2 linked regions of the Callithrix jacchus genome follow. The protein of the gene in region 2 purifies or fractionates together with the protein of the main gene of each other region. This does not show direct contact. Links are inferred from orthologs where the notes say so. Each region holds a gene or a part of one and is shown on either strand. Other genes may lie near its edges. The genes, in order: GDI1 and RAB35.

Region 1 (4,499 bases), on a different chromosome or scaffold from region 2:
GGAAGATGCTCCAATAGCAGCACCCTTGACTCACCACCACCCAGGTACCAGGCCAGTCTTCCCACCACCCTGAATGGCCTAGGGAACATGAAGATCAAATGCAAGGGGGAAATGGAAAGGGTGATAGGTGAGCCTATGGCTGAGTACAAGAGACATGCGGGGCAGGGGAACAGCAGGCAGGTGTGGGGAGGGAGGAGGCAGGCCGGGCGAGGGGGCTGCCGCCACACCAGCTTCCCTCACTCATCAGTGCGGTAGAGCGCCAGGGCGTGGCCAGTGAAATCGATGACATCCTGGCCCAGATCAAACTTTCGGTAGACATCACGCATGCTGGTAGTCTGAGGGTCAACACCCTCAAAGGTCTTGGGGTCATTCTCATCGAAGTTTGCCACAAACACCAGGAACTTGCGGAAGCGCCGTTTCTCAAACATGCCCATCAGATCTAAGGCAGGCGGCAGGACGAGGTTCTGCACCAGCGCAGCACAAAACTCTCCTTCCCAAAGGGCAGGGCCCCACTCCCAGTGTAGCTGTTGTGGGACCTTAGCTCAACCCCTCCGCTCTTTTCAGCCTCGGTTTCCCTGCCTCTATGAAGAGGGGACTGGCCTGGATGGCTCTAAGGGCCTTCCTTGCTCGGACATTTGGGGATGTCTCGGGGATCCAGTGGAGCCCCTGCCAAAAGGTCAAGTCTTTCCAAAGGAGCCCTGTCCTCCTCCACGTCACATCCCTGCTGCGTGTAGGCCTCTCTCCTGGCAGCCATCCGTGAGGCATGGCATGGGGCAGAGAGGATACAGAGTGAAGGGCCTCTGGTTCTTCATGGGGAATGTGACTTTGGACAAGGGGGTGCCTTACTCTGGACAGCCACCCATCCCAAGGACAGTCAACTTCCCTGCCACCCCATGATTCTCTGGCTCAGGGGGCCCACACTCACTGGAAGCCAAGGCCTCAGTCTCAGTGGACGGTACTTTGTAGATCTTGCCCCCCTTGTAGACAAAGCTGCCCTCCACCACCTTGAAGTCCAGATAGCGAGTCACCTCTGTATACAGTAGCATCTTTACCAGCTGCCCTGTGGGTGTGCATGGGGCAACATCGGCACTGCTCTCTCCAGAGTCTCTGCTGGTCTGGCTGCACCTCCCCATCACCCCGACCTGCAATATGTCCTTCCTGTCCCTCACCGTTAGCCATGAGGAATTTGGGAATGAGGTCAACGTTCCAGTCTCGGCCTCGGCCCATCGACTCAGGGGGCCCCTCCAGCAACTGAAAACGCTTATACAGCTGTAAGCAGAAGAGAGACACCTCAGGGACCATCTCCTCCTGCTCCAGGCACCTGGGGAGCTTCTTCTACCCTGTGCCGCTACGTGGGAGGTGAACAGGGATGGGCCTGGGCCCAGATGTCTCACCTCCTCCAGGGGTGTGATGGAGGAGCTCTCACCCCCATAGTAGGGGTTCCGGTCCATGTGCAGCACCTTCTTCCCGTTCACAGACATGATGCCCGACAGGATGCATTCCTGGAGGGAGGGCAATACCATCCTCTCACTCCTACCTGCCTCCCTTCCTACCAGCAGCCCTGATTTGTTCCCCACCCAAACCTGATCCAGTGGACAGCTCCTTCCACCCCCTCAAACCAGCTAGTTGCCTCGCCTAAAATTGGGGTGACAGCTTCATCTGACCACCGTCTCCTTTGTAACCTTGCTGGGCAAAGGAGTCCCATCCCCCTCACAAGGTAGGCAGTGAAATAATGGAGGCTCTGAGAGAGGCAGGGCATCCAGCAGACACAGGATGGCCTTCCAGTACCCACAAGCCAATGGACATGTATCTACGCAGAGCTGCACAGAAAGGCTGTTAAAACACAATGAGGCGCAGACGAGACCTAGCTGGACTGCGAAGGACACTCGAAAGGGAGGTGAAGAAAGGCTTAGCGCAGTCCTTGAAATTGTAGGCCCCACCCTGGACTGATCTTTCTTCAAATGGCGGGAGACCCTGCTGCTGATGAGGGGCATCTGGGCTTGGACTGAGAAAGAAGAGTCTCTCTGGGGAGCGGGCCAACGGGGTTTTTGGGGAAAAGGGGAAGATAAATACCCTCACCCGTCACTGTCACTAGCCCAAGGACAAAGGCTGCAGATGCTACTCAGCCTGAGGTCTCCATAGGCAACCGGGGTGGGGTTGAGGGAATGTGCTTACTGCCCCCACCGCTGCTCCTTCTGGAACATTCCCTGGATCCCCTGGCCCCAGAAGACGAGGAGGTGGGCTGAGGGCCCACCCTGAGGAGGCCCCCTGACCCCATGTCCCTGTCCCTACCGGGATTAGCGCAAGATGGGAAGGGACGCTAAGCGGGCGATGGGTGCGGGCAACCTGCGGGAGGGGGGGAGATTCCGTGATGGGTGGGGGCGATGGGTGGGCGGGGTCGGGGCACCGGGCTTAGCTGGGGTGCATTTTCCGGCCCAGCAGGCACAGGGGTAGGAAAGATGGGAGGGTGCCGGGGGTCAGACCCGGGCAGCCAGGAAGGGGGCCCCTTCGGGAAGATGGGGTCATAGCAAAAAGCAGAGGCGACGTCGCGGGGGGAGCGGCGCGGGGAGCGGCGGGGTGGGCACGGTGCCGGCTTTTTGGAGAGCCGAGCGCATCAGATGGCAGTGACCGGAGGGTGGGCCGGCGGCCACATCATCGCGGGGGGTGGCGAGGGCAAGACACGGGGCCAAGAGCGCCTGGGGCCGCACTTACGGTGAGGCCGGTCCCCAGCACGATCACATCGTATTCCTCGTCCATGGTCAGGCCTCGGTGCCAGTGCCCGCTCGGCTCCTCCTCCTCCTTCACCGCCGCCGCCGCCGCCGCAGCACTGGACCAAAGATGGCGGCGTTTCGGTCGCCGCCTGACCCCTCCGCCTCGTCAAAGAGTCCCGCCTATTCTCGAGCCCCGCCGCGCCCGGCCAGATCCACCGTTTCCCCAGCTCGCCTCCCAGGAGACCTGCTAGGGCCCGGGCCACAGCACCAGCGCGGCTCCGAGGACGACGCTGCTCGCCGAGGGTCCAGAGAGGCGCGGGGCGGGGCGGGCGGGGCGGGCTGGCGGCCGGTACTGCGGCTAGGAAAGGATCCGTGCGCGGAGCCGCGCGCGCCCCGCCCCATCCTCCCCGCCCCGCCCCGCCCCGCGCGCGCCCGCCCAGCCCCGCGGGAGGCTCGGCGCGGTCCCGCGGCCGGGTGCGCGCCGCTGCGGCAGCCGGGGCAGCCCCCTCATGATACGAAGGCTGCCATTGTCACGACGGCCTCCCGAGTCGCCAAAGCGTAACGGGACTCGGCCCGACCGCCCCTTCCTGCCCTAAGTGGTTAGGGCCCACCCTGCTAAAGCCCCTCCAGGTCTCCGCGGATGCTTCCTCACCTCTTCCTCACCGGGCTCCATCCTCCCGCATCCCTCCAGCGAGCACGCACCTAAAGCCCAGTGCAGAAATGACCTACAAGAGGCCCAAATCGTGGCGATCCGCGTTTATTAGGAAGGAAACAACCGAGCACGCCAGGCTCCTGCCAGGCACTCCCGATGGGAACATGCCAGACAGCTGGAGATTGCACCCAGCCCACCTGGGGTGGAGGTCCCTTCCTTCTCAGGCCACAGAAATAAACCCCAGTGTACTGCTTATCATTAGCACAGCATCACCAGAAAACAATAACGACAGCAAAGCAGGTCAGACAGTTAAGTAGTACCTCCACACCCCCAAACTCAGGGAGCCCCATAACCTTAAGGAGAGAGCATTTGCTACATAAAAGCACTATCCACAGCCAGGGATGATGTAGACACAATAAATAAGGAGAAAGGGGACCCTAGAATTCATGTCCCTTACGCCTCACCGCGGCTGAGCCTGGGACATTGGTCTAGCATCTACGCAGAATTATGTACACCTTGTTGGTAGGGATGGGGGCAGCCCCAGGAAATCTCCTTAGTGGGCTGAACGGGGAGCAAGATGGGCTAAAGGGAGCTTGGGGTTCATGCTGTGGTAGGAAGAGGGACACTGTCCCACCCTCAACCCCCTCCTGGCACAGGGTCACACAATCTGGGTCAAAGAAATGGTGGGGCCCTTGTGGTCATCAAAGCGATCCATGGTCTTGAGGCTGAGGATCATGTGCAGGCCATAGGTGAAGATGAAGAGCATGAAGAGGGAGGTGAGCAGCCCCATCCATATGCCGGGGGAGAAGAAGCCGGCGCAGTCGCTGGCATAGGAGAACTGCTCGCCCATCACATTGAAAGCTTGGATCTGGCAGACACACAGACAGGGGTCAGAAAGGACCGTCGGGAGGCCCGAGCCTGTGCCCAAGCAATTCTGTGACTCTTTGGGCCTCTCCTTGCCTCTCAACCACCAGCCTTGGCTCCATGACCTGAAGCTGGGCCACCCCTGCTCCATACCTGGAAGTCCTGAAGTGTCATCTGCCAGTGGGAGGGCTGCGTGCGGGCCACAAGGAGACTGCCCTTCTTGCTCAGGCTGCTGACGTACTCGCAGTGGAAGGAGTAGATGCTGGGTCCTG
Region 2 (3,796 bases):
TCAAACTCTCCTCTCCAGACCCCATCTCCCCATTCATCCGAACGGTACAGAAAGACATCAATCCCCAGAGGCAGACAGAACCATAGCCTCCACTTCCCTCTGTCGCAGGGCTGGAGGCCAGAGAGCAACCCTGCCTTGAACTGTGCAATCAGCCAGAGCCCCCACTCCTGCTCTCCCTAGAGCCGCAGGGACCTCCTCCCTGAGGCTCCTCAGGACACCACACAAACCACGAGTGGACAAGCTACTTCCTCCCAGCCTTCTGGCTGCCAACTGCTCCAGCTGTAAGTACCTCCACCCTGCCCAGCCCTGGGGCAAAGCCCAACCTGCCCCTGCCCCTGCCCCATTCTGGCTCCACCCTCAACACCGCTGCTGGGATCTCCTCCCAGGGCTTCATTCTGCCGCAGCTTTGCTTCCAGGACAACATTGCTTCTTGGCTTTGGGGGAGCTATGACAATCAAGTTGTCTTGGCACTGGGCCCAAGAACCAGCTCTGGCCTTGGCAGCAGCGGCGGAAAGCAGTCGGCTCAGCACACGGAATGGCATGGCGATGCCTTCCAGAGTGAGGGCGCGCTGGAGCCGCAGGAAGAGCAGAGGAAGCGCAAGGAGTGGATGGCTCTGCAGACTCTCCTTTGCTGAAGATGATCAGAGAGGCCAAGGGACACCTACAGCCCTGGCCCTGGCGCAGAGCCCCAGCAGTTCCCTGAGCACCTCCACCTCATCTGAGGCCCAGAAAAGGGGCTTTATCTGAGAGCAGAGAATTCATCTGCAGATGAAGTCAGGGGCTCAGAGCTCTGGCTAGGAAGGTCCGGAGCACTGAAGCTTCCCATGGCCACCAGGAATCGCTTTCACTCACCGGGACTCTGCTCTAGGCCAGGCTCCGAGCCAGGGGGCTTGGTATCCATTACCTTACTAATCTCTGCAGCCACCTGATCCAGGAGACCTCAGGATGGCCATGTGACCCTCAAGGACCCGAGGCTGAGTGCAGCAGCCAGATCTGACTCCCAGACCCAGCTTTCCTTCTCACTTCTCCCCTCACCTCCACCCCACCCACACCTCTCAGCGCCGGCAAACCTCAGCTTCTGAGAGCAAGAACCCAAGAGGGGGTGACCACAGGGCTCTTTCCCGCCAGGCTAACAGGACAGTTTCAGTTTCTCTTTTAATGCCCTGCATCAGAAAATCACACTACTGTATCCTGATTGTCCCATTCCCGAAAACTCTGAAAACTGACTTCCCCAAAACTCCTTCCTTCTTTGCCAGTGACCATCACAGGGCATCGAGACTTCCCGTGCGCCCTTCAGGGCCTCCTGCCTCGTGAGGGCCAGAGCAGGACTCTTAAGACAGAGCTACCACTCTGCTTTCCCAGACAGTCAGGATGGCAGCAGGAGTCCAGCCACTGCCCACAGGCCACCCCTTCCCAAGCCCCCTGGGAAAATCCCATGCTGCTCCCAGGAAGCCGAGTAACTCTTCCCAGCTCCCCACGGAATGGAGGAACCAGTTCACCCTCTTCCTGCCCTGCCCAGCCCGAAAAGCAGGTGACTTCATGGTGGCAGGGAGGGGCTGTGGCTCCTCCTGGTGAAAGAGCCTCAGGCCCCCCAGGCCCCACCGCCCTCCCTGGGGATTCATTCCTCATGGCCACGGGCCTCCCAACCTCTGCTGCCCCAAACCTCTGCCTGGTTTTAAAGCGCAGGATGGGGCAGGAAAGCAGGGGCACCACCTGCCCAGCGGAGGAGGGCCTCGGCAGCCTCAGCGCCAACCCTGAGCACCCCTCACTCCTGCCCCCCAAGTTAGGAGGCTTCATCCTCCCTGGGCTTGTTTTCCTGTCCATAAAATGGAGATAGTCACAGTCCTCTCCACCAGGATTAACCGAAATAAAGCAGGTGAAATCCTAGCGACAGAGCAAGGTCAGAGCCCAGACCAGCTGAACCTAGCATAGGGGCTTGTCTTGCCTGGGCCTGCAGCCCCAGGCTGCCCAAAGCACTGATGCCAGCCCTGCCCCAGCGTCCTCTGCAGATCCTCAATGGCAGCTGCCAAGACATGCAGGCCACAGAGCCCCTGCTCACAGGCTCATCAACCATCACCACACAGGCTGTACCCAGCGACCCTGGGACTGTGAGCTCCCAGGGATTTGGGCACCACGGGCTGCAGCACACGTGTGCTGTGTGCTCAGTGCAGGGTGAGCCCAGTGACAAGCCTTCTGCCCTGGCTCCAGCCCCGAGCTGCCCGCCCAGTGCACCTGTCCCTCCTTCAGCGGCCCTACTCTCCCCAACACTCCCAGCCACCCATGGGAGCAGTGCACCCCACACTTCCCACCTCGGGAGATGCCGAAGGGCCAGGGGTGGGCTGCCAGCATGGGGTGCACCCAGCTTTCACACTGCAGGGAGGAAGGGGGCCGCTGGCCGGGACTTCTTCATCCGCCTTCCTGAGGCCAATTCTAGAGCTGCTGCTCGAGAGAGCCGAGGAGGTGCCCGTGGAGCCAGATAGCTGCCCCTGACTCTGCACAGGCCGCTGTGTGGAGCGCAGGCTCGGGCACTGGGAGGGACCCCTCCAGGGTGCTCTCTGTAAAATGGGATGACAGCAGCTCCAAGCACACAGAGCTGCTAGACAGCACAACCCAGCCACTCATGTTGACGCCCTCGCCAGAGCACTTGGCCCCCTCCACATGGAAGCCAGCACAGAAAGCCTAGGCAACTTGCCTCAGGACACACAGTCCAACAGCCCCAAATCCTCTTCAGACCCTGCTCCTTCCTAAAACCTGCTCCACTAACCCAGTGGGAGCCACTCCAAAGGACACTCCCATCTGTGCTGGAGCCGTTTCCTTCTGGCCTGCAGCTCAGCCACAAAGGTGGCAACCCGTGGGCAGCTGGATTTCCCAGGAAACAGCTTTAAGGGTAGGGAAGGGCCTAATGACACACAACAGTGTCCCCTCTAGACAGCTCTACCTCCAAGGCGGGTGATAGGGCCTGCCCAGGCCAACTCTAGCTTCCACAACTGACACCTACCAAGAGGAATTGCCAGTGACTAAGTCCTGGGTGGGCAGGGCACGTCACAACCCCCAGCAAGGCAAACACTACACTGCTCCCTCTGTAAGGTGACAGTGTGGCAGGCTGAAGGGCCGGCTGACTCTCCAAGGGGACAGCCCATGGCCACTGTCTGGCCAGACTCCACCACAGTGCTCAGCACCACCCACCACCCCCACCAGCAGTCACCTCCCCATCCCCTCACACCTTCAGGACCAGGAAGGCTGCAGCCAAACAGCACACACTAGAGCTGACAACAGGCTCACTTCCCAACAGCCTCGGGGGCCCATTGGTGACATTTCCACCATGACCAGGCACCGGTTGCTCAACCGTTTCCACAGGTCAGTGGTTCGGGCTGAGTGGGAGTGGGCGTGGACTCACGTCGAGGTGATGGTGCGGAAGCGCTCCTGCCCCGCCGTGTCCCAGATCTGCAGCTTCACCTTCTCCCCATTGATCTCCACGGTCCGGATCTTGAAATCCACTCCGATCGTGGTGATATAGCTGCCTGCACACACACGGCAGTTAACGAGGCCCAACCCACATCTCCCGACAGGCCCCCAGCCCCACACTGCACACGACACACCCCCAGGCTCCCCCACCCCCAGCTCATTACATGTGCCTGGCACATTCTAGGCCCCAGGGACACAGCCCTGAACAAGGAACGAGGCCCCTCCACCCACAAGTAAAGTGAAGGAGGGAGGCAGGATGCAAGGAAACAAACAAGGGGGACAATTTCTGAGAGTGAAAGTGACACGCAGGAAATAAAGCGGGATGGGAGTG

What was found.
Region 1: the proteins of RAB35 (region 2) and GDI1 purify together in Homo sapiens (affinity purification with mass spectrometry; 3 studies listed by BioGRID and IntAct, counting the BioPlex papers as one, with this or other methods). This does not show direct contact. The link is inferred for Callithrix jacchus from reciprocal best matches to the Homo sapiens genes RAB35 and GDI1.

Annotation. Positions count from the first base shown.
Region 1 is NC_133524.1:150,231,433-150,235,931, reverse strand, and holds the start of GDI1 (rab GDP dissociation inhibitor alpha), read right to left. Parts: upstream 2,841-4,499; 5' UTR 2,758-2,840; coding exon 2,713-2,757; intron 1,503-2,712; coding exon 1,395-1,502; intron 1,270-1,394; coding exon 1,170-1,269; intron 1,061-1,169; coding exon 926-1,060; intron 440-925; coding exon 241-439; intron 1-240. Other genes in the region: ATP6AP1 (V-type proton ATPase subunit S1), read right to left, coding at 4,022-4,231, 4,381-4,499. UniProt on the Homo sapiens protein: Regulates the GDP/GTP exchange reaction of most Rab proteins by inhibiting the dissociation of GDP from them, and the subsequent binding of GTP to them. Promotes the dissociation of GDP-bound Rab proteins from the membrane and inhibits their activation.
Region 2 is NC_133510.1:123,230,435-123,234,230, forward strand, and holds part of RAB35 (ras-related protein Rab-35), read right to left. Parts: intron 3,522-3,796; coding exon 3,398-3,521; intron 1-3,397. UniProt on the Homo sapiens protein: The small GTPases Rab are key regulators of intracellular membrane trafficking, from the formation of transport vesicles to their fusion with membranes.